Linked DNA regions of Tamandua tetradactyla. The protein of the gene in region 3 purifies or fractionates together with the protein of the main gene of each other region. This does not show direct contact. Links are inferred from orthologs where the notes say so. Each region holds a gene or a part of one and is shown on either strand. Other genes may lie near its edges. The genes, in order: HADHA, CCNL2, CSNK2A2 and PES1.

Region 1 (7,840 bases), on a different chromosome or scaffold from region 3:
CCATGGTTTTGTGAGACACTTATAAATTTCACATTTACAGATTTCTCCTGCTGATTCTGTTTCTCTAGAGAATCTTAGCTAATATACAAATGTTCCTCTAAATCAATAGAGACAAAAATACAGAAACCAGTAGATATACAAACTTATTTGGAAAAGAATTTCAAACCAGAGTAAATGAAATCAACTCAGAGTTCAAAGTAGCTTTGCTTTTGGATCCCAAATCAGCAGAGCTCACCTTACAGCAATTCGTGAACTTCAGCCTACATCTACTGTTGCCAGCCAGTGAGAGTAACCTTTGATCTACTTTCTAATCATCTTTGTCATTTAGCTCAAGGAAATAACTACAACACATTATAAGACTAGAATCAGTGGAGACAGATGGATTATACTGGCACAAATTTCAAATTTGAAAATGTTACTTTGGTTGTAGTAACCTACAGATTTTTTCAAAATCCAACCCTGGGAAAAGGGTGGGATTAGGGAAGTGAGTCAAGTTTAAATATACAGCATGTGCTGAGGACTAAGTAAGGTATTTGCATCCAATTACATGACATTTCCTATTAAATTATTTCATAGCTCACATAATTGGGGATTTAGGTTGCGGAGAGGGGGAATTAGACAAGGTATTTTTTTCTAGATGTGACTCATCTGACAATCAAATTGAGAATTACAGTACTGGTAGAGGAGGAATGAGTTAAAACTTCAAGAACTACAAGTCTAGTTCATAAAATTTAATCATCTACTAGTAAATGCCATATCTCATTAAATGTCTGGCAATATCTTGGCACAGACTTTAAGGGGAAGAAATCAATCTACTGAGTCTAAATGGCAATTCAGGTGTGCAGGTAACTTTAAATTCACCTACTAAGCAATTTTCCAAAATTTATAAATTGCTATCAAAACGACAGTAACTATAATAAGCCACTTTCTAACTGGTGAAAACATGATACAAAAAAAATGTTTATATATGTGCATACCTTACCTCCATACCGAAAATATGGCACAACTAAAGTTGCAACTGTTTATTACACATTTTTAAATTGTAGAAGTTACTTTAAAAAAATCCCAGATATACAAAAATCATAGTTCTTCAGGGCTGTAAAGAGTTAACAATAGTTAACATTTACTGAGCACCTACTCCATGAAAAACTGATTAACATTTAAAAAACTCCTTTAGATTTCTAAACAACCTTGTAAGGAGGTATTTTTTAACCACATTTTTTACAGATGAGAAAAGAGATAAAGAAATTGCCCAAGGTCGTGAGAGAGTAAATGCCAGCTTTAAATTCAGAAGACAGAGGCCAAATTTCATGCTTTTCTCTGTCAAACTACTTCTCAAGTAAAAGAAAACCCACAGTCTCATCCATTCATTTTACAGATGAGGAAAATAGAGCCTGCTTAGATTATGAAATCTGTCCCAAATCACACAACTAATTAATGAAAGGGTCGTGATGCTAGAAACCAGGTTACCTGACTACCAGTTCAGTGTTACAACAGCTGTCAACCCATAAGAAGTACCTCAAAACCAATGCAGGTGTAAGCTCATACATACAATCTGATTTTTATAAAGTGTTAAAACATAAAAGTGGGAAACAGAAAAAAAATCTGTAAGGAAGGATGACAAAATGCTAACATGTGAGTAGCAAGTGAACAGGTAATTTATTTTTAACCCTGTTTCTGAGCTTTACACTTCAATTTCTGTAATAATGTAGTTATACTATGATTGGTACACACACATCAGTGAGAATGCTCCTGTGGAGACTAAAAACAACGGGAGAAATGAGAAAGCAGAAAAAGATTGAATCAGCCAAAATGAATCCCTCTTAAGTAAGGGGAAATTCAGCTACCAGCCTTAAAGACAAGCTAAGAAGGAAGTGGGAATATATATGATAATTTAACAATTTAAATAATTGGTATTAGGCACAGCATCTCACATCTCACGTGACAGGTTTGAGAAGGGAGAGAAATGCTTAGTTTCTCCCATCACCCACCTTAACCCTTCCACTGCCAATTTGAAGAGAAAAGATAACAGCAAATGCAGGCTGACAGGGAAGTGTCAGAAACAAGATCAGAAAAGGTACATAAAATTATCTAACGCTTTATTTTCTAAGTTACAGGACATCTGAGCATTAAATTAAAAAGTTGCTTCTTTTCCAGCAAGTTGCTGAACCTCCTGTTGAAATTCAACATACCATACATACGTTTACACTAGGATTGACAGAACTGGGCAAGAGCTGAGCTCCATCGAAAAGCGGTAATAAGTACTAAAGTGGTTTGACAACAAAGGAGAAGGGAGCGGCAGTAACCTGTCACGCCGGTTACGGGAAGGTGCTGTGAAGACGCCAAGATGTGAGAGACCGGGGATGCCCGTTCTTCTGGACCCGGATCCAGTAGGAAGGGCGTGAACCCCGAAGTGCGACGCGGGAGATCTGCGGAAAATTCCGGCACCGGGTGGGAAGGACTCAGAAAGTTAGGGGTTACGGAGCCTGGAAGCCCCACGGCGCTGGGTGTCGTGGGAGAGGAAGCCGCAATCCCTTCACAGGGACGCAGGGGCCCGGCGTCCACCCCAAGCACTGGAAGGCCCAGGCGGGGGCGGGGAGACGCCGGCTAGCCCGAGACGCGGTTCCGGGGCCGCCCCAGGCCGGGCAGGAGTTCTGCCCGGGCTGCAGAGCGCCCTCCGCCAGGCCTCACCTGGGGAGCGAAGAGTCCTAGAGGAAGTGAAGCGGCTGAGGCTGCCAATTGCCCGGGACGCCACCATCTTGCACGGAAAAGGACGAAAGTAGAAAGCGCTTCCAGCGGGGGCGGCTGAGCAGAGGACTTTTCCCCCAAGCAGCGTGGTCCCTGCCAGGCGTCCGCCGTACTGCCTGACTAAAACCCAGATGCCGAGGTGCCGTCCGCCCCGCGACCCTGCCCTTCGCTCCCGGTACATGAGGCGAAAAGGGCGTTCTCCTCGTCAGGGAAAGAGGCCGGTCGAGGAAGGGGCGAGGAGCCGCCGTTCCAGTCAGGCATCCGGCGGGCAGCCCGCGAAGCCCGTGGGCGGGGCGCGGAGGGGTCCTTTCAAACAGGCCCCGCCCCTTGGCCCCACAGACTCTAGACGCTTGGGTCCGAATTTTACCCGGAGTCGGGGCCGCAGTGGAGTCGGAGCGGGCGAGAGCAAAGGTGGGACTATGTTTGCGTTCGGGTTTCCGCCTGAGTTTCTTCCCGGGCGACAGCCGCACTTCCTTTCCTTTCGCCAGACCCGAGACCTGTGGCCGCCGGCCAGAAGGCTTCTCTCCCTGTGAGGCTAGTATTCCGGCGAGCGGAAGGAAGCGCCCCGACTGGGCGTGCTGTAGCCGGAGCGACTAGTACTGGGGCAGTAACTTGGGCTAGCCTTCTAATTGTACTGTGGGCAGTAGTGTCACCTGTGTCTTTTAGTTTATCACCGCAAGTTAGCCAACAGTTTGTCGGCATACAAACCTACTTTGGAGTGTTTACTATTCACCTGTAGCCAGGTCAGCGGCCTTAGAGCTCCTGAAGGGGACCACGGGTCTACCCCGTTTTCTGCTTCAAAGGGTGGAGCTCGGCCCTGTGTCCTTTCGGGACTCGAGTGTGGGAGGAGCTGAGACATTTCGCCCTCCTCCTCGGAGATGGATAATGCAGGGGAATTTTCAAATCTGTGAGAGACCTGGTATCATCGGTCATTCACCCCCTTCACTCGATCGGTAAGGAAACTGAAGCCCCCAAATCAGACTGAGTAATTTTATCCAAGGTCACAGGTGGTAGAAATAAGACTAGAACCTAGGTCTCCTAGTTTCCAGCCGAGACGCTGCTTGCTCCGGTGCTCCAGAGTCCTGTTAGAGATGAGACGATTCAAGCCAAAAGGAAATAATTTTGAGGGCCTGTTGTGCTTCAGTCACTTTCCTCCCATTCCATTTAATTCTTATGAACCTAGGCTTATTTGCATTTTTCTAGCTAAAGTTTGGGAGGTTCCGAGAAGAGTAGATAAATTTTTTTGATTTCAGATATAAATCTGAGACTCACTGCTTACCAGATTGATGTCTGGCAAGAGAGACAGCAAGAGGGGCCAGCGGGCGGGAAAAATGGCAGGGAAATTGAGGCTGAAACAAGTATAAAAAAAAAGAAGAGAGATTTCTGTTAAAACTCAAGTCAAATAGTGAGTCCCCCATCATTGTGTACTTTTTAAGTAGAAACTGGATATGACCAGTGATCACCTTGTAGGAAATTGTAAAAAGGATTTTAATGACCTCCAAAGGCCCTCCAACTTAAAAGATTTTTTTGCCACCCCTCATCTAAATAATAAGTGCTTCATGGAATGAGGTACTGAAGAGAGCATTGTGTGGGCAGGAGACAGGACTTGAACTGTAAAAAAATCTTTTTAAAATAGTTTAGGCTTTGGAGGCCTGCATAGGGCTCTGTCATGTTCTTTTTTGTTTTGTTTTACAGCCCTTTAAAAATATATAAAACTGTTCTAAGGTGGAAGCCCATGGACTGTAGTTTGGCAACCCTTGATTTAGATCACCCTTTTGCCTCTTGATTTTTTTATGCCTTGCACTCTCAGCAAAATCGTAAGCTCCATTGGGGCAAAAATGTCCTGTTTCTTTGATCCTTAATACTTAAGAAAGATGGCTTGTACAGAGCAGAAACTAAGTACATTTATAGCACTGTCACTACCTCCTAAAAGTAACAACAGACCCACATATAACTCTTACTATGTATCAGGCACTGTTCTAAATTAATCTTTGCAGTAGCCCTATGAGGTAAGAACTGCAATTAGTTGGGATCCTAAGGCAGAGAAAGGGTGGAGTCAGTATTTCAGTTAAGGCAATCTGGCTTCAGAGTCTGTGCTCTTAACCGTTACGTTGTGTCTTAATGCTTTTTGAAATTATGGCTCTAACAAGAGCCATCCCATCTTGTTTCAGAACTTGCCCAGCCCTTTCTTCCTTTCCTTGCTCCAGGTGCCCGCAACTTTAAGCGTTTTTCCATGCTTCCACACCCTACAAAGCCTACCTACCCTGGAGTTTCCATGCTTCAAAAATCCTCGAGTCAAAATTTTTCGCTGTTTAGATGTTTTAAATGTTTATATAATCAGATCTGTTATTTTTAGAAAGTTTTGATATCTATTAAAGCAAGGTGTCTTTTTTTCTTTTTCAAAATGTCCTTGATTATTTTCATGAGTTTTATTTCAAGATGACCTTTGCTTAAGAGAATTTGTATCCTAGATTCATGTAGAATCATCCGTATCTTCTAGAAACCATGGTATCTTATGGGCTTCTTTGTCTCCTTGGCTGGAGTTCCTGTATACCTATAGGCTGCTGAGCCTAGAATTTGGATTCGGCCACTGCTTTCCAATGTGAAACATGTGATTTTCTTCATTTTTCTTCTTTTTGGTGTGGTGGTGATTTATAAGGCAGTTTTAATGAGATATTTTCACATACCATACACTCCATCCAGTGTGCACAATTAGTGGCTTTTAGTATAATCACAGAGTTGTGCGTTCATTGCCACGATCCATTTTAGAACATTTTTATTACTCCAAAAAGAAAAACCTCAAACCCCTTAGCAGTCACCTTTCAAGCTCTCTGTCCTGTCCTGGCACTATGTAATCACTAATCTAATTCTGTCTCTATAGATTTATTTATACTTAATTTTATATAAATGGAATCATGCAATATGTAGTACTTTGTGTCTGATTTTTTCCACTTAGCATAATGTTTTTAAATTATTATTGTTTTTTAATTACAGAAGTTGTAGGTTTACGAGAAAGTCATATTAAAAAATACAGCGTTCTTCTATACTCCCCTATTGTTGAAACTTTGTATTAGTATGGTACCTTTGTTACAATAGATCAGAGGACATTAAAATATTACTGTTAACTATAGTCCATAGTTTACATTAGGTATACTTTCCCCATATATCATCTCTTATTAACACCTTGTAATATTGTTGTACATTTGTTATAATTCATGAAAGAACATTCTTAAATTCGTACTATTAACCACAATCCATCATGCACTACAGGTTCACTGTGTTATACAGTCCCATGTTTTATCTTCTAACTTTCCTTCTAGTAACATACGTGACTCAAAACTTCCCCTTTCAACCACATTCACAAACATAATTCAGTGCTGTTAATTAGACTCACAATAATATGTAACCATCACCACCATCCGTTTCCAAACCTTTACAATCAACCTAAGAAGAAAAGAAGAAATTTGGTTCAAATTAAGCATCAGTTTCCCCATTCTTTACTCTCTTCTGTCTTCTGGTAACCTATTTTCTAGATTCTAATTCTATGATTTTGCTTATTATAATTAGTTCATATCAGTGAGATCATATAATATTTATTGCTTTGTGTCTGCCTTATTTCGCTCAACATAATGTGTTCAAGGTTCATCCATGCTGTCATATGCATCATGACTTTCATTTTATGACTGAATGACGTTCCATCGTGTGTGTGTTTATATATATATATATATATATATATATATATATATATATATACATGCACATACCACATTTTGTTTATCCATTCACTGGTTGATAGATACTTGAGTTGTTTCCATCTTTTAGTGATTGTGAATGATGCTGCTGTAAACATTAGTGTGCAAATATCTGTTTGAGTTCAGTGTATTTTGGGGCACCATGATTAGGTACATAAATATTTATGATTGTTATTTCTTCTTGGTGGTTTGCCCCATTTATTAATATATAGGTTCCTTCTCTGTCTAACAGTTTTGCATTTAGAGTCTGTTTTGGCTAGTATGAGTATAGCTACCCCAGCTCTTCTTTGGTTACTGTTTGCATCACATTTCCTTTTCCGACCTTTCATTTTCACCCTATTTGTGTTTTTGGATCTAAGGTGACTCTCTTGTAGATAGCTTATGGATAGAGCATATATATATATATATATATATTTTATCCAATCTGCCACTCTGTGTGTTTTGACTGGGGAGTTTAACCCATTAATATTCAATGCTATTTCTGTAAAGGCCGTACTTACATCAGCCATTTTATCCTCTGGCTTTTATATGTTGTATCTTATTTTCAGTGCTCATGTATTTTGGAGCACTCTGGCTTGGTACATAAATATTGATGATTGTTATGTCTTCTTGTTGAATTCTTCCCTTTATTAATACATTTTGTCTCTATTAATACATTTTATTAATACATTTGTCTCTTTGTCTCTTTTAATTGTTTTATATTTGGAGTCTAATTTGTTGGATTGTTGTTTGCATGAAATATCTTTTCCTAACCTTTTACTTTCAACCTATGTTTATCCTTGTGTCTAAAATGTATCTCCTGTAGACAGCATATAGATGGGTCCTGTTTTTTAATCCATTTTGCCAGTCTCTTTTGATTGGGGAGTTTAATCCATTAACATTTAGTGTTATTACAGTAAGGGAGGTACTTTCTTCTACCATTTTGTCTTTTGGATTTTATATGTCATATCTAATTTTTCTTGTTTTTATCTTTACTGATAGTCTTCATTTCTATACTCTTTTCCACACCTCTCTCCTGTCTTTTCCTGTCTGTCTCTAGTGCTCTTTTTAGTATTTCTTGCAGAGCTGGTGTCTTGGTCACAAATTCAGTGATATTTTTGTCTGAAAATGTTTTAATTTCCCCTCATTTTTGCTGGATATAGAATTCTTGTTTGGCAGTTTTTCTCTTTTAATATCTTAAATATATCATCCCACTGTCTTCTTGCCTCCATTGTTTCTACTGAGAAATCTATGCATAGTCTTATTGGGCTTCCCTTATATGTGATAGATTGCTTTTCTCTTGCTGCTTTCAAAGTTCTTTCTCTTTGAAATCTGACATTCTGATTAGTAAGTGTCTTGGA
Region 2 (7,553 bases), on a different chromosome or scaffold from region 3:
AAAGAAAATCAACTCACCATGACGTCTGGACCAGGTGTTGGTTACGCTCACACTCTAACACCTGAAGGTACATAACGATTATCTGGAAGATATGGGTCAGGCAGTTATTACCAAGAATCTGGAGAGCCAAGAATTCAGCTTTCTGGGCATCCATGCAGCAAACGAGAGCCTCAAGCTAGATTCCAGGAGTGGCTTCCCAGTCACACGCCCAGTGGATGGAGCTCGGCTGGAGAGTGAGCTTTTGCTGACGCACCTGCTACCTGCTTTGGCAGCTGGGCAGCAAGCATGCACACGAGAACAGAGCTGCACCCCGGCAGGGAAGGCCTCGTTTCATGGCCAGCATCTAGCAGATTCTCAGTCTTGTCTTCGACACCTTTTCCACCAGTGAGATTTGCCTGCCTAACATCTCTGTATCCCAATCACCAACTTACATAAAACACATGTGAAAGTCCTCCAGAAAGTGAAGAAAGCGCTTAAAGCTGCTTAAATTGGAGAGTTTACCAAGAATTTGAAATGACAAAAAATCAAACAAGTAAAAGAGAAGATATGAGGACACCCATCAATGAGAAGGGAATGAAATCAAAGATGCAAACAGCAATCTTTTTTAAAAGCAATTTTTTAAAAAGTATGACACAGCAGATATTCGTGGCACTGTAAATAAACTGAAATATACTAAAAGTATAGTAGTCGTGCTCCTTAATTAATACTTGCTGCAAAACTGGCTTAGTTCATTTCAAAATAAAAAGGCTTAGAATTCTTCCATTTCCTCTATAAGACAATGAAAGATTATTACTAATGGAACTTCAGAAGACAAACTGTGGAAAAAGAAAATGTTTTATAAATTTACCACTATGTCTCTGTCAACTCAAAACTAAAAGAAGCCAATTCCAGTACCCTTAAAAAATATTTAAAATTAAGAAGTAATATTTACAAAAAGATTACTGCGAAATTATAGACACAAACTGGAGAACCAAGTCCAGGATGCATTTCAATTCTCTTTAAAGGCTTGCTTAGCAGTGAAAATAAAATGAGCAGCAGCAGCCAGTGGCCAGGCCTGTGCCTATACTGACCTTGTGAGGATGCTTCACGTGGACGCAGAAGCCAAGCTCCTTCAGAACACGTCTTTCTGCTTTTATGATTTGGTTTTTTAAATTAACATAATCTTGATCCAATAGAAGAGGCACAGGTTTCCTAGAAAGACAAACAAAGCACATGACCTGCATAAGGGTCAAATAAAATGAAGTCTTTCAAATCCCATGATTACCTCCAAAGGCTGAGAACTGAGGACAGAAACGCTACGACACAGACATCACGAGGAGGCCGACTTTACTACCTTCAGGGACAGCATCACAAAGCCTTCCTAGACCCCTACACTGAGCTATGGTCCTCCCCTTTCCCTTATAGATAAATGGCGCTCTAGGGCACAGCAAAGTCCAACTGCACTGGAGCGGGCAGCAGCTAGAGATGCTGCTAAACATCCTAAAATCCAAAGGGCAGCCCTGCAGTGGAATAACTTGGTCCAAAACGTCATAGTATAGAGGCTCCAGAGCAGAGATATGTAGGAGACCAGAGACGAGAGGGTGATGAACTGATATGGGCAACCCAAACACCAGTACCAGGAAAACCACAGCCACAGGCCTCTGTCCTTGCCCACAGCAGCCCCTTCGTTCATTGAGCAATCCCTGTTGAGAAGCCCTGGGCATAACCCCCTGTCCTGGTGCTTGGGAATACATTAACGAATGACCCACAAGTTTAAAACCTCACACCAGGAGTTTTGTTACAGAAGCCCTAAGGCACTTCAAAAACCACAAATATAAGGAGACATTCACCACAGCTGTAACAAAAACACTCACTTCTTCTCTCTCAGATGCCGGAGCCGATGAAACACGTTGATGACATCCCTTATCCGTCTTGGGGCCTCTTCTATTTTGGAGGCCAGGTGAACACAGGCCATTGACACATGCTGAAATAAATGTACACACTGCAACATCCGGATGACTGTTCCCACCCTGATGGCTTCCAAAGACTTGGGAAGCGCGACGAAAGCAGTGCTGGGAGCCCACCATCGTGAACGTAATTAATACCACTCAACTGTGTACTTCAAAGCTACAAAAATGGAAAATTTTACATTGAGCCACAGAGCCAGAATAAAGGTTTAAAGAGATAAAAAGAGCAAAGGGGAGCCGCACAGAGGAAAAGGCTGCCCGGGAGAGCGGGGCTCTGAGCACAACAGGCTCCCCACACCTGGAACACACCGCAGGCCTGCTTCCGCCTCCGCACCCCTGGGGAAGGGGCCCCGGCGGGCGCAGGCCCTCACCTCCATGGAATGCTTCACGAAGGACTTGGTGTAGAAGAACCGCTGGAACAGCACCTGCCCGGTAGCCATGGCCACCTGGAGAAGTGAAAAGGGGTTTCTACCACTTCTAGCCGCACGTTCAGGAGCTTCGCAACATAAAGGAAATCGCCAGCTTTCGCGTGGCTCTGGATCCAGGAATTAACCCAAAGCCTCTGATACCCACGAAGGCTGGCGGCCCCCACCCTCCGCAGGCAGGCCCGAGGCGCGGCGTGAGTGGGCGCGGGGCCCGGGCGGGACGCCGGCGGAGGTGGGCCCGGGGCCGGGGAAGAGGCCGGCGGGATGGGCCGGCGCGAAGCCCGCGCGGCCGCCAACAAAAGGCCGGGCCGGCGGGGCGGTTACCTCCGCCCGCGGCCGCGCACTCACCTGCGGCAGGCGGAGCAGGATCCCGGCCGCCTGGATGAGCTCGCAGCCCACCACGCGGAGGTCGGTCTCCGTGTCGGTGTCGAGGCCGCTCGACATGGACGGCGTGAAGCGAAGCTTGTCGTCAGGCAGGAGGCAGTTCTCCAGGGTAATGAGCACCCCGGAGTACAGCCTGTCCCCGATCAGCACCCCCTGCGCCCCGGGGGCTGCGCCTCCCGTGCCTGGGGCGCCGGCCGCTGCCGCGGGAGCCGCGGGCCCCGGAACCCCGGCCGCGGCCGCCGCCATTTTGTGCCGCCGACTTCTCCTCGGCTCCTTCCCGGCAGGGCCGCTCCTCGCGACGCTCTACGACGGCGGCCATCCCGCCTCCCGCGCGCCATTGGCTGGGCCGGCGGAGGTCCTGTCGCGCCTCCCGCTGATTGGCCGCATGGCCTGCCCGTCAGCGCCGCGCCGGACGCCGGCGCCGGAATCGGCGCGCGCGGGGGTGGCTGGTTACCCAAGGTGCTGCGCGGCGCCGGGGCGCGGCCGCGAATGCTGCGTCGCCGACCCGGAAGCCGCGCGTCTCTCCGCGTGGCCGAGCCTTCCCGGCTGCGGCGCGCGATCCCACGGAGCCCCCGAAGCGCGTAGCTCCGGTCCCGGGGCGCGGGCTGCCTGCGGCGGAGGAGGCTGAGGGGTCGTGGTTTAAGGGGTACGTGCCGTGCACGTGGCAGCCGCGGTGGGCTCACGTTTCAGCCCTTCCGGACCCCGAGGTTCAGGCCGCAGGAGTTGCGCAGCGTCTGCAGCCCACAAGCCCTTGGCCTTCGGAGTTCAGTCCGCAGGCCCGAGACGAGGAGCTCGGTAAGGGGGAGCACTGCGTCCCGCGCCTCTGCCGAGCCCCTGGCCACGGGAGAAGGCAGGCATCAGACGGTTCCGGCGCGGGGCAGCAAGGCCAGGGGCTGAAGCGGTCAGCATGACTGACTTCGTGGGCCCCGGGCACCCCGTGGAGAGTTTGAACTTGAATAACAGTGGGGGCCTTCTCCACGGAAAGGGGGAAGAGAGAAATAAGACTAAGTGTCAATGGCTGAGAGATTCCAAACAGAGCCGAGAGGTTATCCTGGAGGTTATTCTTAAGCATTAAGTGATATCACCTTGTTATTCAAGATGCAATGGAGAGGCTGGAGGGAACTGCCTGAAAATGTAGAGCTGTGTTCCAGTAGCCATGTTTCTTGAAGATGATTGTATGATGATACAGCTTTTGCAATGCGACTATGTGATTGAAAAAAATAATAATAAAACCTAAAATTGTGGAATTGTAACCCATGTCAAACTCTGAAATACGTTCTATAACTAATTGTGGTGCTGTGATTTGAAATTTATAGCTTTTTAATGTTATTTTTCACAAAAAAAAGAAAAAAGGTCGATTGTGATGATAGAAAAATATTTGAGCCTTCTAGACTCCTATATTTTGGAGCAGCTAGAAGGAAAAATATGAGAGATTCGTATGGTAGCCCATGATAAACGCTGGGATCTGTCCTGTAACTACTTTTTGAAGAGTGCTTTGAAAACTATTGCTTTGTTTTTTTTGCTTGTGTATGTTATACTACACAGTAAAAAAATGTTAAAAAATAAAAACCCAAAAACAAAACAGTGGGGGACCACTGATGGGGCTTTATGCCTTTGAACCCCTCTTGACCTTACAGACCTCCCATTTACTCCTGAAAAGAGAGACTTGTGCCTAGAAGGCCCCGCCTAGTTCTCACCCTTGGGTTCAGTACTGCCAGCCTCCTTTGCAGTTTTTAAGGCACTCAGCATCAGGGCTGTTGGTCTCATTGTACAGGAGGAATAAATGCTGTCGTCATCAACCGTGACTGCACACGTTGCGGTTAAACATTCACCAGTAATGTTGTGAGCCCTGGCCTGGGGGTGGGGGTGGGGAGCCTGAGAGGGGGGGCAACCTGGGGTGGGGTGGTTGGAACTGGGTAGGGGGTGGGCTGAGAAGCCTGGGGGGAAGGTAGACTGTCGCACTTAAACTTGCCTTAGATATTGCCCTCAATTCAAACCGGCCCAAACCCAGAGGCCTCCATTGCTTCCCTCCTCTGAAGTGTCCAGATGGGGCCCTGACTTCTGGAGAGACTCGATCCAGCAACTCCCAATGCTGCTACCTAAGAAGCCAGTTCTCCTCGTCTTTCGTAGCCCCAACATCTCCTCTCCCTAGGTGGGCAGCACCAGGATCCTCCTGTGTGCAGGCAAACTGGCTACAGCAGCACCCTCTAGGAAAAGTTCCTGTTCTCTGGAAATCCCAGCAAACATGTTTCTGATTATCCTTGCCTAGTTGCTTGCCCATCCCCTGGGCAGTGATTGGCCAGAAAAGTGGGAAGAGTTAATGGCCTTAGCTAATCAGGGCCAGGCCCTAGAGCTAGGGACAGGGCCACAGTCCCCGGAACTGCACCAAAGGGAGAGCTGGGCCCTGTGGCTGGAGGAAGGGGTTGGGGTGGGTGCTGGGAGCAGCCTGTAGTGGTCTATGACACCCCCTTTCATTGAGGCGAGATACAGAGCAAAAGGCAGCCCCTTCACTACCATGCAGTGCGCGCATCATTGGACCCCACACAACGAGCTCTGATGCTCCCGTTGCCTGTTCAGTAGCCATCTGCTGATGACTGAGGAGTACTGTGACCTGTGTGCACAGCATGGCCCTGCTGTTCAGTGCAGCAGGACAACAGTGGAGGGGCCGCAGCCCCTGGCCCCCAAGTGCTCATGGTCCAAAGGCCATTGTTAAACAGGACAAAGACCAGAGGGTGCTAAGGAGGCCGGCGCAGTTGTTGAAGCCAGAGGTGATGCTGGAGAAAAGGACGACGATTTTGAGTGGGAATGAAGGAAAGTGGGCAATCAAGAGACAGGACTTGCTCGGGACCTGTGGGTTGGAGGGGGGCATTGAGCCTGAGGGGGAAGCCCACACTGACTCTAGGTGTCTGCTGGCAAAGAGGCAAGTGGAGCATGTGGGGTGGGGGGAGATGGGCGCTCGGCTTAGGAACCTCTGGAGCCGTGGGCAAGTATCCAGGACGCAGTGGGACAAGCATGTCTCGAGCTCAGGGGAGGGCTGCATTGGGAAGGATGTGGGAGCCACCAGCAGGCAGAGAGTGGCTAATGCCATGAGCCTTGTGGCAGTTAGATTTGGTTGTCAACTTGGCCAGGTGAAGGCACCTAGTTCTGTTGCTGTGGACATGAACCAATGGTACGTGAACCTCATGACTGTTTGACTTAATTGGCTGGTACTTAAATGAGCAAGCTCAACGTAGCACAGCCCAAGCAGCTCGGCATACCTCATCTCAGCACTCAGCCCAGGCCTTTGAGATGCAAAAAGAAATCACCCTGGGGAAAGTTGTTGGAACCCAGAGGCCTGGAGAAAAGGCCAGCAGAGATCACCCTGAGCCTTCCCACCCAAGAAAGAACCTCAGATGAAAGTTAGTTGCCTTTCCTCTGAAGAACTAACAAAATACATCCCCTTTTATTAAAAGCTAATCCATCTCTGGTGTGTTGCATTCCAGCAGCTAGCAAACTAGAACAAGCATGGAGAGCTTTCCTGAAGCAGGTGGAGGATTGAGCCCAGAAAACAGAAACACGACATGGAGACTGAGCAGGCGCAGCAAGAAGGAACCCTAAGCATGTTGCACGCCAGCCTGCAGGGAGAGCCAGAGTCCCACAGAGGGCGTAGGTTCTGGGCCCACAGATGCTCAGAAGTGAGAAAAGTTGAAAAAGTGGCTGTTGGTGGTGGTGAGCGCCACCAGAGGCGTAGCAGATCAGTGGACCCAGTGATCACAGGGGCAGAGTGGAACTGAGCAGCCGGCCTACGGAAGAAAGGAAAGCAGACTCAGGAGCGGAGTGGGGCAGGAGGGTCTCAAAGTCCAGAGAAGACAGGCGATGGGTGGAACCAGAGCCCCATGAGGACCGAGTCCAGCTTTGGGCCCCGAGGGAGCACCTGGCCCTGAAGGTGAGCAAGGACCCAGCTTCCATCTTGGCCAGGGGAGAGAGGTGTGGACCCCTCCTGAGGTGCACGTGCTGATCAGAGGTGGGCACGGTGGGCAGGCGGCAAGGCAGGAGGAAGGCACATGGCTGTCCCCATCAGCCCCGTGGGCTTGAGAACAGATTCCGGCCTGACTCTGGACTTAATGAATCTGAGTCCCTGGGGCATGGAACAGGATGCTGCATGCTAAATGGCCTCATCAGATGGGCCAAGGGTCAGTCACTGAGAAGCCCCTGCCTGGCGATGTGCGGCTGGGGTAAAGCCAGGACCAAGAGGGCCAGCTTGCCTGCTGTGGGGAGGGCTGGGCTAGGGACCAGTTGGAGGCTGCAGAGAACTGAGGCTGGCGTACAGCTAGGGAGCTGGGTCCCAGGGTTTCTGCTGGAGAGAGAGGTCAAGGCAAGGGGACTACAGAGGGAAAGAACGAACTTGGGGCACGGGGAGGAGGGAAGTCCGCGGTGAGAAACCTGGATAGGTTTACGGTGAGGCCGCACGTCAGAGTGGAGTCATCTGGGGGACAAGAGGGCCAAGACCCGCCACGAGGCAGGGGCGCGCATGGAATGGGGAAGCAGGTACTGAATGGGCTGTCCAGGCAGCCTTGAGGGGAGCCAGGATCAGAGTTGAGAGGCATAAGCCCCCAATTCACAGAAGAGCATCTAGGATTCCAAGAGAGGGGGTACCATCCCACCTGGTGGCCTCTTCTGTGCCAAAGCTGTGGCAACAAGCCTGCGGGCCCCCAGAGACGCACACAACCCGCACAGCTGAACACCACAGGCTTTATTTTAACAACCTATATTAGATGGTTCTGAGAATCTGTTAATAAAGGACCCGTTTTCAGGCCTA
Region 3 (7,605 bases):
CACACACACACACAAAGCTACAAAAAGAAATAAGAAACAACACTCTAACTAAAGTATCAAAGGAGACTTCTAAGTCTTATTCCAGAACACTGTTCAACATTAAGACCCCACAAGACAATACACCAAAGTAAGACACCGGAAGAAATAGGAAACAGGCATTGCAATAAAGGTTCATTACTGAATAATAAGGGTTCATTATTTTAGCAAAATTATGAGATAAGTTTCTTTGTGCTTAGGTTTACCATTTGTTTAAAAAAACCCTAGAGTTTCCATATTGAGGACCCTAAACACATCCCAAGAATTTTTGGAGCAAAGGAAAACTATCAAGCAACTGACCCTATAAAGTCCTTTAGAATGACTAAAGAGTAATGTGATAATTTCCTAAATGAACATACTGATATTTATACATACACCTGACTGCTGTTTCCTCTCAAAAGTGCAAAGCAAAGAGATTGCACTTATTCTAAAATGTTACCACTGCACAAAAGTTTAGACGTTTTTCTGGAATTGCTTTAGAGTCAGCAGTTCATTTTTCAGAATGTATAGTAGTGGAATGTGGCTATTACTAATTTCAACTTGTGTCTTAACTACTTTCCTAGAAAGATGTGAAGCAGCTTAAATAAAAAACATTTGTGCGTATGTACATAAAGAAATAAATTGTATGGCTTCCCCAGGTGATCTGTCGTCTGAAGAGACATTCATTTAAACATTAGTGTTTGTTAAAAAAAAAGGACCATGTGATTTTAAAGATACAACTCAAATTTGGGGAAAAGCGGAGTCAATAACTTTAACATCAATTCCTCACTTCTTGTTCCCAATATGTCTGGCAGCACAAATAACTAGCTATCTGCTCTAGGTAGGAGCAACTTTGCTCCTTCAACGCTAGGTAGGAGGTCCTAAAAGACTGTGTCAATCATTTTTATGAAAGGCAATTTCCAGACAGCATAAGTACCCCACACATTAAAAAGGACTACCTACACAGCTGCCCTAATGCTACCCTTAAGAAACAAAAACAGCTTTTTAACTCCACATTTCTGTTCCACACAAATCTCTGCAAAATGGCCACATTGCCTATATGTAAAGTACTTCCTCAGTTTTCTGAATGGAAACAAAAACAGCTTTTTAACCCCATTTTTGTTCCACAAAATCTCTGCAAAATGGCCACACTGCATTTATGTAAAGTACTTCCTTAGTCTTCTGAATGTTTCTTTAAATGATATGCACACACTTTAAATGACCCGGCCAAAATGAGGCCCCATCACAGATTGAGTTACTCTTTAGTACAACCTCTAAAACATCATTTGCCTGAAGGAAAATTCAGTCAATTCTTCATGGTCATTAAGATCATGTCTTCATGCAAGTGATAACAAAACAGGCATATTATGAAACTTAGCCACTAAACCCCGATATCAACAGTGTCTTGTTCCAATTATTACTTTGGAGATTGGAAGCATACTCTTCTGCTCACTTTTACTAGTTGACAAGCAACAATGAACCTTTCCAAAACTACTAGCTGTTATTTCCACTTCAGCTGAAACTTTATCACCAAAGAAGGGACAAGTGGTTATCCACTGAGACATTTTCCTCCACTTGGGCTACAAATTCATCTTTGAAGGATAAATTTATCTTCTAACTTTCCTTCCGGAATAACTTAATGCACCAAGAGTAACAAAAACAATAGTCAAGCAACCTCTGGATTGTTAGAATCTTCACAAAGAGATATTTCTTTCCTCTGAAATATCAGTTATGTTGTAATACATAGAGTATGGGATTTTTTTGCTTTGAGAGCCCATAATTTAAATTTGGGAACAAGGACTTACTTTCCTGACCTAACATGCTTCTGATTTGAGGCAGGTCTCCATGTTTTCTTGGAAATTAGGAGGAAGGAGTAGTGGAGGGACATCAGACAGAAGGCAGTAAATAAAATGAGAGTTAGGACTGTAGCTCACATAGATTCCCATTTGGCCTGTGGAAAAAAAAGTTTAAATGCCACTCATAGGACACTCACCTTGAGGATTTTTACAACCACTCTCTCGTTGTTGGTGATGTTAATAGCCTCAAACACTTCACTATACTTTCCCCGACCAAGTTTTCGAACCAGTTGGTAATCATCCTGATTACTGTGAAAGGAAAGACAGACACATAAATGCTAAGATAGTGGATCAACCAAGTTCAGGCTCACTATACACTCCATGCAGATGCTTCCATTAATCAAACACTTGGAAGTGTCTATACATCACATCACAACTCATTCCCTAAATGAAGGCTACAACAAAAACTTGGCTCCCTTCACTCTGCAGAGCTCCTAACCTAATTGTTCCCTCATAACTTAAGGGAGATGATGTAGAGGGAGCGCAAAGCATCCATACTGGAGCGCCACAGGGTACTCCTCCACCGGTGGCTTCAAAGCACCTGCCTCATACTTCACACCCTGAACGCAGACAGTGCCTGCTTTGCTAATCTGGACGTCTTCAAAAAATTTCCTCCCACCCAGTCTCAGACAAACTAAAAGGCAAAGAATTTTAATAGCTCAAGAAGACAGCTGTTTACTTCCCACCCCAACAGAAAGCCAAAAGTGTGAGGAGGATGGGCTGCCCCCTCACTTCTATGAAGATCTGGCCCTCAGATCCTTTACGTCTTCCCAGGAAGAAAGGGAGATGAAGAAAGAGAGGGGTGCGCCAAGTGGGAAGAGGAGGCCAAGGACACGTGCGGAGGGGGAGGGGGGGTTCAGTCTCCCACCCCAGACACGAGAAAGCGCCGGCCCAGAAGAGGAGCAGGCGGGGAGACAGATCGCCCGGAGCCGAGTGTGGTTCACACTGGGGGGCGGCCGGGCGGGGCCCGAGGAGGGTGTGAGGGTCGGGTGGGGGGCGGCGGCTTTACCCCCAGCTCGGGACGTGCGACTCATAGTCCCAGTACTCGCGGCTCCTCAGGCTGTTCACCTCGGCGTAGACCCGGGCCCTGCTGCCCGCGGCCGGGCCGGGCATGGCGGGCGGGACCGGGGGGCGCCGCAGGGCGCAGAGGGTGGCGCGGCGGGGGGCGCCGGGTGGAGGGCGGAGCGGGCGGCCGGCCGCCGGGCGCCGGAGGAGGAGGAGGAGGAGTGCGGCGGCGGGCGGCCGCGCCAGGCCGGGCCCGCGGGGGCGGGCGGGTTGGGGGGCGCGGGGGGCTCCGGCCGGCCCGGCCCAGCCCCGGAGCTGCCGGCGAGGCGGAGGGACGGGCGGCGCTCGCGCTCCGCGGCGGCCTCAGCTCGGCTCGCGGCCCCGACTCGGCGGCAGCAGGGGCGGCGGCAGGGGCGGCAGCCGCGGCAGCCGCCGGCCGGGAAAGGGACAGCGGTGGCGGCGGCGGCGAAGAAGGAGGAGGAGGAGGAGGAGGAGGAGGAGGAAACCCGGAAAAGGGGCCGCGCTCAATAGGAGCGGCCACCGCCCGGCCCGGGGCCGCTCGGACTCACAGCGCCCCCTGCAGCGCGGGGGGACCCGCCGGGCGGCGCCAGCCCCGCCCCCGCCCCGCCCCCTGCCCAAATCTCCCCCTCCTCAGTCTGCCCTGACGCGGTCCTCACGAGGCTTCCCCCACTCACAGACTGTCTCTCTAACCTTTCCTCTCCAGTCCCGACCCTTTAAAAACTGTCTTGGAGGTTCCTACCCAAAGCTCTCCACCCTCTAGCCACCCAGAGTCCTCCGTCCTCAAGACCTCCCCTGCTGACCCAAACTACCCCCATCGAGTGCCCTGCTGATGACTCTCCTCAACTACTTAGAGCCTCCTCCGCCTCAAGATCCCTCTGCTCCTCCCAGAGGCCCCCCTTTTTTCCTCCAGACCTTGTCTGGTCACCCATAGAGGTCTCAACCCTAAGACCTCCTCACCCAGAGCCTCCTTTCAAGACCCTTCTCTTACACTTTCCCCCCAGATTCCCTTACCTGAAAGAGCACTTCCCTGAACAACTTCTGAATGTTCCCTTGGTCACTTGGTTATGTTGGTCCCTGTCAGGTTGTCTGTTTTCCCCATTAATAGATAATTTGTGGGGAGCTTGAACTCTGCAAATGCCCTTTTTATGTGTGTGAGGACGGAGAGCAGTAGAATTGTGTGGGGGTTCTGCCTGAAGGCTCAGTCCAGGGCGTGGGGTGGACTGAGGGTGGGGTGTTTTTTATTCTGTTGCCTCCTATCTCTAAACACTTCTCTCTCTGATCTTCTGGGCCTTTCTTCTGTTTTCCTTTCCCATCCTATATCCTGTATCAATGGAACGTCCTCATTCATCCCAGACTTTTCTGACTTTAATCCCTTTACACATTCTGTTTTCCAGATGAGACCCTGCTTCCTACTCCTTGTTATTATTAAGAGGACAGAATATCGAGTCAGATACAAGCAGGTTTGAATTCCTGCTCTACTGCTTATAAGCTGTGTGGCCTTGGCTTGGTTGCTTAACCTCTCTGTGCTGCAGAGTTTACAGCAAAAAATCAGTAATAGCACTTACTTTACAGGGAGAATTGAAAAGGTTAATTCATGTAAAACACTTAAACCAATGTCTGGGAGGTACTGAGTACTCAGTAAAGGTAATTACCCAATATTATTATTTCCAGTTCCAGAGCCTTTCTCCTATCACTTTTCCCTGAGACCACAACAGGCTTATCTTTCAGTTCTTTCCACCTTCTAAACATGGCCAGGAGCTACCCCCACCTTTCACTACTTCCTTCCCATGGCTGACTCTTGCTCTTCAAATCTCAGTTTAAAGGTCATTTTCTCTTGAGTTGACAATTCTCTGTCTCAGCACCCTATCCACATCCTTCCAGAAGTCTGCATGGTCTGTGATTATTTGCTTCCTAACTGTCTGTCTCCTCCACTGTAAAAGCAGCATCCAGCATCTTCCACAATTCGAGGCTTTCAGTGTATACAATGTTACCCCGTAGATTACTTATTAATTACAAAGGGGAACCTGGAGGTCATGACCTTAACTGTGGATCTAATTTAGCATCAAAAATGGGACCAACTGAACTCTTGATGTGATGCACCAAGATGGGACACGATATCCCCAACGCAGTACTCCTGCCCCAAAATGCTTAATCTGAATCTAATCAAAGGGCACAATCAAACATATCCAAACTGAGGGAGCATTCTGCTAGACAATTGGCCTAGATTTTTCAATAATATCAATGTCACGAGAAGAAACAAAACCCCTGGAGTGAACTTCTCAATTAAAAAAGACTGAGAGACATAACTAAGTTAAGTATATGACTTTGGTTTAAATACAGAATAAAATGGGAAAGAAGGAAGGGACGGAAAGAAGAATATAGTTAAAAGGACAGTAATGGGATTATTGGAGAAATTAGAATAAAGGATGTATATTAGATAATATTGTATCAATGTTAAATTTTGTGAATGCGATCATTGTATTTTGGTTATGCAGGAGAATCCCTTGATCTTGGGTATTACATGCTGTTGGAAATTCAGTAATGACCCCCCATAAAGACGTGTCAAGTTCTAACCCCAGTTACTGGTTGTAGACTCATTTGCGAATAGTCTCTGCAAAGATCCAATTGAGATGAGGTCAAATTGAGTTAGGGTACCCTTTGATCCATATGACTGAAGTTCTTTTTTTTTTTCTGTATGCTGTATGGTGGGGTTACAATTCATCTTTTTCCATGTGGCTATCCAATTATTGCAGCACTATTTGTTGAATTTATTTTTGGGGGGAAATGGGGGAAGTGCACAGGCTGGGAATCGAACCTGGTCTCCCTCATGGCAGGCAAGAATTCTACCACTGAACTACCCTTGCACCCCATGACTGGAATTCTTATAAACAGAGGAAATTCAGAAGTCAGGAGAAGCCAGAGGAGGAGAGAGAAAGGGATTGCCAGGTGATATGGGCAAACATGCATCTACAAACCAAGGAACACCAAGGCTTGCCTTCAAGCCAGCATTGGAATACCACTGACACAAGGAGAAAGCATGGTCTAGCAATACCTTGGTTTTTGACTTACAACCTCCACAATTGTGAGACAATACATCCCTGTTGTTTAAGCCAACCAATTTGTGGTATTTGTCATAGCTGCCTTGGCAAACAGAGACACATACCAAGTGTTCAGGGATAAAGTATAATATCTGCAACTTATTCTCAAATGGTTCTCCACAAAAAAGCGTGGGTTCCAGAGAGCAAGAGCACACATGGGGGTAAGGAATAATTGGGGGAGAATTGTTAACAATTGGCAAGTATAGACAGAGAGCACACGAGCTTACAACTTTTTGGTAGATTTGAAATTTTTCAAAATAAATAAGAGGGCAGGCCAAGGTGGCTCAGCAGGCAGTGTTCTAGCCTGCCATGCCAGAGACCCAGGTTCGATTCCCGGTGCCTGCCCATGCAAATAAATAAATAAGAGCGTGTATGAAATAAGTGGACTTTGGCATTTAATTCCCAAACATGGACACTTCCCTGAATCTTTTTTCCGTGAGAAGACACGAGCATTTTCAAGCTGTTCATGTAGCCATAGGATTTCTTTCTGACAAGTCTTTGTGAATTAGCCTGTACCAGAAGTTCTTAATCTGGATCCTTTGGATGAGCACCAAGGACCCCTGATGCTGCATGCAAAATTTGTGGGTCAGTGTGTGTGGGTGACGGTGTGTGTGCGCACATTTTTTCTTCAGCATCCATCAGCTTCTCAAAGGAGGCCATGATTATAAAGTGGTTCCAAATCACTGGTCTAACTACTATGTCCAACACTGGCAGGAACCCCATTTCTTGCCTCCACCCTCACCCACCTGTGACCCCTCCCACGTTCCCTGAACCTTCTCATCTTTTACCACCTAACCCACACCCATCTCACGTAACCTGCTCCCACACCTGCCAGGAAGCCTGAGGATTTGCCTACACACCTCTCTGGTGCAACACACTCCTGATTTGGCTGACACTTCCCTAATTCAGCCTGAAACCAGCAGTCAGTTCTCTGGTTTGCTGGCCAAACAGAATATGTTTTTATGGCTTGTTGTAAGTAGGCTGAGCACCCCACAGACCTGGCAGAGACCCACCATCTCTCCTTCCTGCCTGTCCACCATGCCGCTGGCTTGGGAAGAACTAAGTCGGACAACTGGAGATGGCACCAACGGCAACTCTCACTGAAGGAATGGAGTCTTACTTGAGTAGGGAGAGGGACAGGCTGCTGGCTCTGCAGGGGTGGGTGACAGGGCAGCGAGGATCAACAAGCCAGAAAGGACTTCCCCTAATTAATATGTGGATGCAGGTGTGAGGCTGAGTATAACTGAGGGTAGCACAAGAGGCAATGAAAGAGAACGTCTTTTTTTTTTTTTTTTTTAAAGGAAAGACAGAGAGAAGGAAGGAAGGAAGGAAGAAAGGGAAACATCTTTAAACATTTTCTTGTATTCTGTTTCTCCGTTTTTGTTACATGGGCTGGGGCCGGGAATCGAACCGAGGTCCTCCGGCATAGCAGGCAAGCACTTTGCCCGCTGAGCCACCGCGGCCCGCCCGAAAGAGAACGTCTTTTGTCAAAAAGCCCAACAATTTTATAACGATTCCTCCAAATTCCACCCAAACAGATAAAACAAATAGGTGAATTGAAGACAGCCCTAAGCTCTGGAACTCCAGCCACCTCAATTCCCTCAGAATAT
Region 4 (7,847 bases), on a different chromosome or scaffold from region 3:
TGCTACCAGGTTATTGTTGCATCTAGGACATCTCAGTTCACGCTGTGTTCTAGTTTGTCAGCTGCTGGAATGCAATATACCAGAAATGGAATGGCTTTTAAAAAGGGAGAATCTAATAAGTTGCTAGTTTACAGTTCTAAGGCTGTGAAACTGTCCAAATTAAAAACAAGTCTATAGAAATGCCCAATCTAAGGCATCCAGGGAAAGACACCCTGGTTCAAGAAGGCTGATGATGTTCAGTGTTTCTCTCTCAGCTGGAAGGGCACACGGCAAACATGGCAGCATCTGCTAGCTTTCTCTTTAGGCCTCCTGCTTCATGAAGCTCCCCAGGAGGCGTTTTCTTTCTTCATCTCCAAAGGTCACTTAGCCAGTGGACCCTGGTTCTCTCATACTTCTGTTGTGATTCTGCAGCTCTCTTCTCATTCTCCAAAAGGAACTCTCTCACCAAAATGTCTCTTCTTTTATAGGATTCCAGTAAACTAATCAAAATCCAGGTAGAATGGGGTATCCATCTAATCAAGTTTAATAACTACAATTGACTGATTAGATTACAACATCTCCATCTAATCAAATTTAATACCCACAACTGATTGATCGCATCTCCATGGAGGTAACCTAACCAAGTTTCCAACCTATAGTACTGAATAGGGATTAGAAGAAACTGTTGCTCCCACAAGATTGATTGGGATTAAAACATGGCTTTTCTAGGGTACATAAATCCTTTCAAACCAGCACATACGGCAAGGATATATAGATATATATATATATGGAATAGTACGCACACATATACAATAGAAGACAAAAGTGGAGCTTTCCAGATGAATGTGTGTATACAATTTCATGTGTGTAGTTCTACATGTATTTCTTTATGAAATCATCTGAATCTATATCAATTTGAACATGAGTTAATACTGATGTCTCCAAGCCTAACCCATTTCCATATCTAGCATTCTAGATGCCTCCATTGCTTATCTGTAAATTTCCACTCCAACAGTGAGAAACCTGCCTCCACCTTCTACCAGTCATTTACTTATTGGTCAGTTCCAGTATACCTGCATAGCTTTATCAGAATTGTTAGCCCTTACCCTGGTGGAAAACAACTTTTAAACTTGAGTGCAGAGCTATGCATGATTTCTTTTGCCTTTAGTCCTACAGACTCATTTCCAAATTTACTTATGTCAGTACATCCCCTCTCCCTTTTGATGGTTGTTACATACATTTGTAATAGATTGTTTTGTCACATTTTGCATTTCATTCTGGGATTCCCACCAACTTCCTAAATTTTTAAAATACTTGCATACATTGTTTCACTTTTTGTGGTGTAAAGTTCTCGTTTTGGGGGGGGGGGGCTGTGCATGGTCCAGGAATCGAACCCGGGTCTCCCGCACAAAACATGGGCATTCTAACCACTGAACTACCCATGCACCCTTAGTTCTAGGAGTTTTGATAAATACACATTATGTATCCAAAATTAGTCTAATACACAATAGTTTCACCACCCTAAAAAAAAATCCCGTGCTTTACCTTTTAATCCTCCTCCACAGTCGAACCCCTGATATTTTCTTTGTATTTATTGTCTTGCCTTTCCCGCATGTCATATAATTGAAATCATACATAACGGAGCTTTGTCAGATTGGCTCATTAAGCAATATGCATCTAAGATTCATCTATGGCACTTTATGGCTTGATAGCTCGTTTCTTTTTCTGCTGAATAATATTCTATTGTATGGACGTATACATTAATCTCCTGAAAGACATCTTGGTGGCTTATAGTTTTGGGTAATTATGCCATAAACATTTATATGCAGGTTTTTGTATGAATATTAATATTCACATCAGTTGGGTAAATACCTAGAATTTGACTGTTGAATCATAAGATCAGATCATGTTTAGCTTTGTCAGAAACTGCCAAACTGTCTTGCAAACTGACTGTACCACTATTATCTTTTTTTTAAATAAAACAACTTAGAAATATTTAATATTTAAAGCAACAACTACTCTATGACGTTATCTCCATTTGATAAATAAAGACAGAGAGGTAAAGTAGCTTGTCCAGGCTTGAAGATAAAGCCAGGTGTGTCTGTTTGCAGAGATTGGGCTCTTAACCAAATCAGTGAAGAAATCCTGGTACACAAAAAGCACTCTGTTGGGAAATCAAGACAGAGAGGAGAGACCTATGTGCTGTCTTTCTAGGACTCTCCACAACTCATTAGGCAATAGCGTTTGAGTTCAATAGCAGGCTCTGCAACCAGCCCGATGAAAATCTGTTCTCCAACTCCTGATATTCTCGTAAGCAGTGTGGACGACCAAATTAATAGGCCGAGCCTTCAATCTTGGGGTTTGTTCATATGAAACTTATCCCTCTTTTGTTGCTCAGATGTGGCCTATATCTCTCAGCCAACACGACAAGCAAACTCACTGCCCTAGCCCTCTCTATGTGGGATATGACTTCCAGGGGTGTAAATCTTCCTGGCAAGGTGGGACAGAAATCCTAGAATTAGGCGGGACTCAGCATCAAAGGATTAAGAAAGCCTTCTTGACCAAAAGGGGGAATAGAGAAATGAGACAAAATAAAGTGTCAGTGGCTGAGAGATTTCAGAGTCGAGAAGCTACCCTGAAGGTAATTCTTAATGCATTATATAGATATCCCGTTTAGGTTAAGGTGTATTCGGCTAGAGGGAAGTGCCTGAAACAACAGAGCTGTGTTCCAGTAACCAAGTTTCTTGAAGATGATTGTGTAATGATATAGCTTTCACAATGTGACTGGGTGATTGTGAAAACCTTGTGTCTGATGCTCCTTTTATTTACAGTATGAATAGATGAGTAAAGCATGAATTAAAAACAGATAAATAAAAGGGCGAACAAATGTTAACATTAAAAAATATGTATACTGGAAAGATAGAAATAACAGTGGTCAATGAGAGGGAGGGATAAGGGGTATGATATGTATGAGTTTTTCCTTTTTCTTTTTCTGGAGTGATGCACATGATCTAAATGATCATGGTGATGAATATACAACTATGCGATGTTACTGTGAACCACTGATTGTACACCACGTATGGAACGTTTGTATGGTATGAATGTATGTGCGTGTATGTTGTTTTATCAATAAAATTTTTTTTTTTGATATTTTAAGTAGCTGAGCGACCTTGGGCAAGTTTCTTCATTTCCTGAGCCTCAGTTTCCTCACCTGGTTAAAATGAAGCTATCAGAAGTACTACATGACCTCTACTTTGAGCTCCAGATCTGGATATACAACTGCTTTCCTGGAAAGCTCTACTTTTGTCTTCCACTGACCACTCAAAATCAATGTGAGCAACACAGGGTTCATCTTTCTTCTGGAAACGTGGTCCTTCTGTGCAGGACAAGCTACATGATTCGCGAGAGTCAGTGCAAGATGCAAATGGAAGGCCCCTTGTTAAAAAAAAAATGTTCAGAATTTCAGCAACAGCAGAGCTTTAAACCAAGTGACGGCCCTTTTAAGTGAGGGGCCCTGTAGAATTGCACAGGTAGCACATCCACGAAACCGGTTCTGCTCTTGAGTTCCTTTCATGAGTTTCCCACTTCTATCCTCTTCTGATCATCTTTCCTTGCCCCATCTTGCCCTCCATGCTCCACTCAGAATGGATCTCTCAGGGTTCTCTGAATTCTCCAAAGTTTTGTCTCTGACCCAGGTGCTCCCTTTCCACGTCCTCTTTGCCAGCCTCAGATCTTGATTGAAACACTCTCTTCTGCCTTACAGTGACCACCACAGGTCTATAGTTTTTCTTAAACTCTCGGGCAAAGAAAGTTTTCTTTGCTAGCTTGCCTCCCCTATCCCTTCAATACATTTCATTTCATCCTTTGTTTCATTTTGCGTTGTTTGTGGATTTGCTGAACTTTAATTTTATTTGTGCTTTAAAGTAGATAATAAAATTCACATCGTTCATAATAATCAAGCATCAGCAATTAACGTCTGCCTCCTTCTCTTGATAAGCCTGTGGCCAAGATCGTGATGAAAGCCACAGTCACAAAGTCCTCAAATTTAGATTTTTGAGGCCAGTTCCAAACGGGATTTGGAAGGCTGAAGGAGGAAAACACCAAACATCTTTAAAATTGTATCTGCTTCCCATACCACATCACTATAAGGTACAGTGAATATTTGTATGAATCTTGCATTTTTCCTTTAAGGGGCACAGTACGAAATTTATAGCTGTGCATATTAAAGCTCGAAAAGTGCTAACTGTACATTTAAAATATACCACGAGTTCTGTAACTCTGCTCGGCCTTTAGCTACTCTTCGACCGCTGCTAGATCGCAGAAAATGCTAGCGAACCCTCGGCCCTCTATCTCTATCAAAGAAAATGTTTGCTTCTGCTCTATTTTATCCCTAAGAGCGGATGAACAAAAAGAAGTGCGGCTGAACAAAAAGAAGTGCCGATGAACAAAAAGAGGTGCCGAAGGCCACGGACGTTTGGAGCGCAGCCTCACCTCGCGAAGCTAGAAAGCATCTTCTCGGTAGAGCCTGCGACGTTCCGACATCACCTAAACACAACCGTTACCGGGACAACGCAGCCCAGCCTCAAGAGCCGCAGACCTCACCTCTGTATCCCAGAAGGCACTGCGCTGCCTCTAAGCCTTCCGCCCCACTGCATCCCAACATGCCACGGGGCCCAAACGTCAAGCGATCTTCGTCAGGGTGATTATAGCAATGCCTGAAGATTTGCATCAGTTTAAACTTATAAATTGTCTGTAATAACCCTGTACCTGGAAAAGAAGTCGGAATAGGGGTTATAGTTATTTTTCAAAGGGGTTAACTTTAAATAGCCACGAGAAAAGGCCCATTGTTTTCTGGATTCGCGCAGGCTCCTCCTTGGACAGCCCAGGTGGGGCTCCTAAGGACTCTAGACTAGACACGTGTGGAGGAAGTGGCGCTGTCTCGGTTTGTTCCGCCGGTAGGCCTTTCAGCGTGAAGCGATGGGAGGCCTGGAGAAGAAAAAAGTGAGTGGAAGAGATGCTGTGGGTCCCCGGGAGAATGGTATATAGGGGCGGCGGAACTAAGGGACGCGACTAGGGGCAGCTGTGAACCGCATGCGAGGAAGGGCGAGGACGGCAGTGCGCGTCCGGTGAAATCCAGGAAAAAACGCTGGAGTGTACAATCAGTAATTCTTAATAACATCACATAGTTGCATATTCATCAATTCTTAGTACATTTGCATCGATTTAGAAAAAGAAATAAAAAGACAACAGAATAAGAATTAAAACAATAATAGAAAGAAAAAAAAATCGCTGGAGTGGGGTTGTGAAAGAGTTGAGGTTATCAAGCAAAGCTTCACCAGAAGCAAGCAGGACCGAGGGGAACACCCTGTTTGCTGGAAAAATGATAAATGTTACACGATTATCTTCTCTTACTTGGTATCCTTTTTCCATTGAGCCAGACACTCTGTCCTAGGTACTGGTCATAGAGAAATAAACAGATGTGGCCCTTGCCTACCCGGAGTTCACTTTACAAAAGTAAATAGCAAAAACTATCACCAAGGAATACAAAAGAACACTCATATTAGTTAGTGTTGTCTTGGAAGGTGTCACTGAGGCTGCACCATTAAAACTGAAATCTGAAAGATTAGAAGATCGAGTCTTGGATGGGTTTTGGAGCATGGGAGTGCTTAGTGAGTAAGCCTGGTAAAGGAAACTGAAATGCCAAGACCCTCGGGTGGGAAAAGTTTGCTGTGTGAAAGGAATTGAAAGAACGTTAGGATGGCTGGAATATAATAAACCTCTGGTGAAGTTGGGATTGGGCAGTGATCAAATCATGCAATGCCTTGTAAACCACAGTGAGGAGCTTGGATTTTATCCTAAGAACAATAGGAGACAACTGAAGGAAACACATTTTCAGTTTTTTAAGGAATTGTTCCTGCTACTCTATGGAGACCCCACGTCAGTGGTATAAAGAGCCTAGGGTGGGCAGTGCCGGTGTGTGTGAAGATGCAGTTGGCTAACATGTTTCCTTCAGGTGCAATGTTTTCAGTGCCATTTTGTTTTTAATCTAACACATCTATTGAATACCCACTAAGGGTTACCCATTGGAGCTACAGAGATATAAGATGAACAACCCTGCCTTTGAAAATGGGTTTCTCAACCATTTTGATAGCTTGGGCCAGATTAATCTTTTTTTTTTTTTGGCGGGGGGAGACAGAGGGAGGAGAGTTGTCCTGTGCATTGTGGGGTGTTTAGCAGCATCCCGGACCTCTACCCATTAGATGCCAGTAGCACCCAACAAAAATATCTCCACACGTTGCTGTATTCCCGCACCACACACACACACAGCCCCCAGCAAGAACGATCCATTTATCCCTTTAATGTTTACAAGTATAAGTGTGTGGTCACAGGAGTATATGTGGCATAGAGTAATGGGAGATACTTTTAATGAAGACTCAACTTCGTGAGATAGTCTGAAACCCATCTTTGTATTCCCCAGGACCTAGCACAGGCCCCGATCCTCAATAAACAAAACTAATAAATGTCTGAAGGAAAGCATGAGTGGGGGATATGTTTCATAACTGGTGTTTTACATAAACGTACTTCTCTGGGGCTGCAGGACTCCTCCTTAAAACTGGGCCTGGCCTTAGAGGCCGCTCCTGTCTTATTCGGGCAGAAGATCATGTTTGGAAAGGACATTCTTGGTCAGCATTGGAGGGTGCTTGGTACAAAGCCCTGTTTATCAGGGGCACAGATGTGAATGTGAGGCAGCATTGTGGTGCTACAGACATCCACATGGTTGCCCAAAACAGTACACTCCTTGGAACAGGTAGAGTCTTGGACTTTTGTCTTTATTATCCTCATAGCACCTGCTTTAATACTTTGAATATAGTAAAAATCCCCTTATTGTCTGTTGAATGATTGACTGGGGAGAAGGTGAGTCCAGATTTCTTAAAGCATCTATTTTTTTCCCCAAGGGAGTAAAAATTGGTCTTGGGTAGGCAGGTAGAGCAGAAAAAAAAAAAATCTTAAATATTACAATGGGTTGTAGTCCTCCAAAGGACCACGTTACCTAACACATATAAAGTATATCTGTGATATTAAAATTTCATGGGTCTGCGAGGGATGATTAGGAAGAAAAGTGTCTGAAAAGGCTGTGTGTCTGTGTGCGTGTGTGGCAGAGGGGAATGGTGACAATAGTAAAAAGTTTGAGAAACACTGGCTTTGCAGTTAGGTACCCAGCTCTGGAGTCAGACCTGGGTTTGAATCCCAGCTCCAGCACTTAAAGTGTTGGGTGACCTGGGTGGGGTTTTTAACCTTGTTGAGCCTGTTACTCTCGTCTGGTGTGGGGGGTTATAACGGTACCTACCTCACAGGGTTATGGGGATTAAATGAAATAATACCAGTAACAACCAGTACTTAGAGCTAGTACTGTGTGCTTGGCACAGTGCACTACATAGCAACCTCATGATCCCTGGCATCCTACTTTGCAGACCTGTGTATCCTCTCCAGGGACATCTGTAAGAACAGTGCTGGGAAGCCCCTTCCGGCAGGAGCCTCCTTCCCTATGGCATTTCCTGTCCACAAAGCACCTTGGCCACTTACCTCTGAAACAAAGCACACCAGAGTTTGGTGGCTGTCACTGCAGTCATTGACTTGTTTTTATCTTTCCCAAAGTATGAACGGGGCTCTGCCACCAACTACATCACCCGAAACAAAGCCCGGAAGAAGCTGCAACTGAGCCTGGCTGACTTCAGGTGAGATTGGAGAGAAGTGAGAGAGCATGCCTCGGGGAGCCTAGACCATGAATTGCACAGTAACTCAGTCCTCATTGTACTACACCACAGCTTTGTTTTCCCTGAGCTGCCCAAACCCTCTTTGGAATTTGG

Evidence for each region.
Region 1: the proteins of CSNK2A2 (region 3) and HADHA purify together in Homo sapiens (affinity purification with mass spectrometry; 3 studies listed by BioGRID and IntAct, with this or other methods). This does not show direct contact. The link is inferred for Tamandua tetradactyla from reciprocal best matches to the Homo sapiens genes CSNK2A2 and HADHA.
Region 2: the proteins of CSNK2A2 (region 3) and CCNL2 purify together in Homo sapiens (affinity purification with mass spectrometry; 3 studies listed by BioGRID and IntAct, with this or other methods). This does not show direct contact. The link is inferred for Tamandua tetradactyla from reciprocal best matches to the Homo sapiens genes CSNK2A2 and CCNL2.
Region 4: the proteins of CSNK2A2 (region 3) and PES1 purify together in Homo sapiens (affinity purification with mass spectrometry; 3 studies listed by BioGRID and IntAct, with this or other methods). This does not show direct contact. The link is inferred for Tamandua tetradactyla from reciprocal best matches to the Homo sapiens genes CSNK2A2 and PES1.

What each region holds. Positions count from the first base shown.
Region 1 is NC_135329.1:9,962,492-9,970,331, forward strand, and holds the start of HADHA (trifunctional enzyme subunit alpha, mitochondrial), read right to left. Parts: upstream 2,930-7,840; coding exon 2,692-2,929; intron 1-2,691. Other genes in the region: HADHB (trifunctional enzyme subunit beta, mitochondrial), read left to right, coding at 2,880-3,159. UniProt on the Homo sapiens protein: Mitochondrial trifunctional enzyme catalyzes the last three of the four reactions of the mitochondrial beta-oxidation pathway.
Region 2 is NC_135328.1:223,487,538-223,495,090, reverse strand, and holds the start of CCNL2 (cyclin-L2), read right to left. Parts: upstream 3,002-7,553; coding exon 2,720-3,001; intron 2,393-2,719; coding exon 2,318-2,392; intron 1,964-2,317; coding exon 1,854-1,963; intron 1,192-1,853; coding exon 1,071-1,191; intron 83-1,070; coding exon 18-82; intron 1-17. UniProt on the Homo sapiens protein: Involved in pre-mRNA splicing. May induce cell death, possibly by acting on the transcription and RNA processing of apoptosis-related factors.
Region 3 is NC_135342.1:51,831,876-51,839,480, forward strand, and holds the start of CSNK2A2 (casein kinase II subunit alpha'), read right to left. Parts: upstream 3,001-7,605; 5' UTR 2,985-3,000; coding exon 2,881-2,984; intron 2,121-2,880; coding exon 2,009-2,120; intron 1-2,008.
Region 4 is NC_135331.1:32,350,350-32,358,196, forward strand, and holds the start of PES1 (pescadillo homolog), read left to right. Parts: upstream 1-4,847; 5' UTR 4,848-4,956; coding exon 4,957-4,980; intron 4,981-7,635; coding exon 7,636-7,715; intron 7,716-7,847. UniProt on the Homo sapiens protein: Component of the PeBoW complex, which is required for maturation of 28S and 5.8S ribosomal RNAs and formation of the 60S ribosome.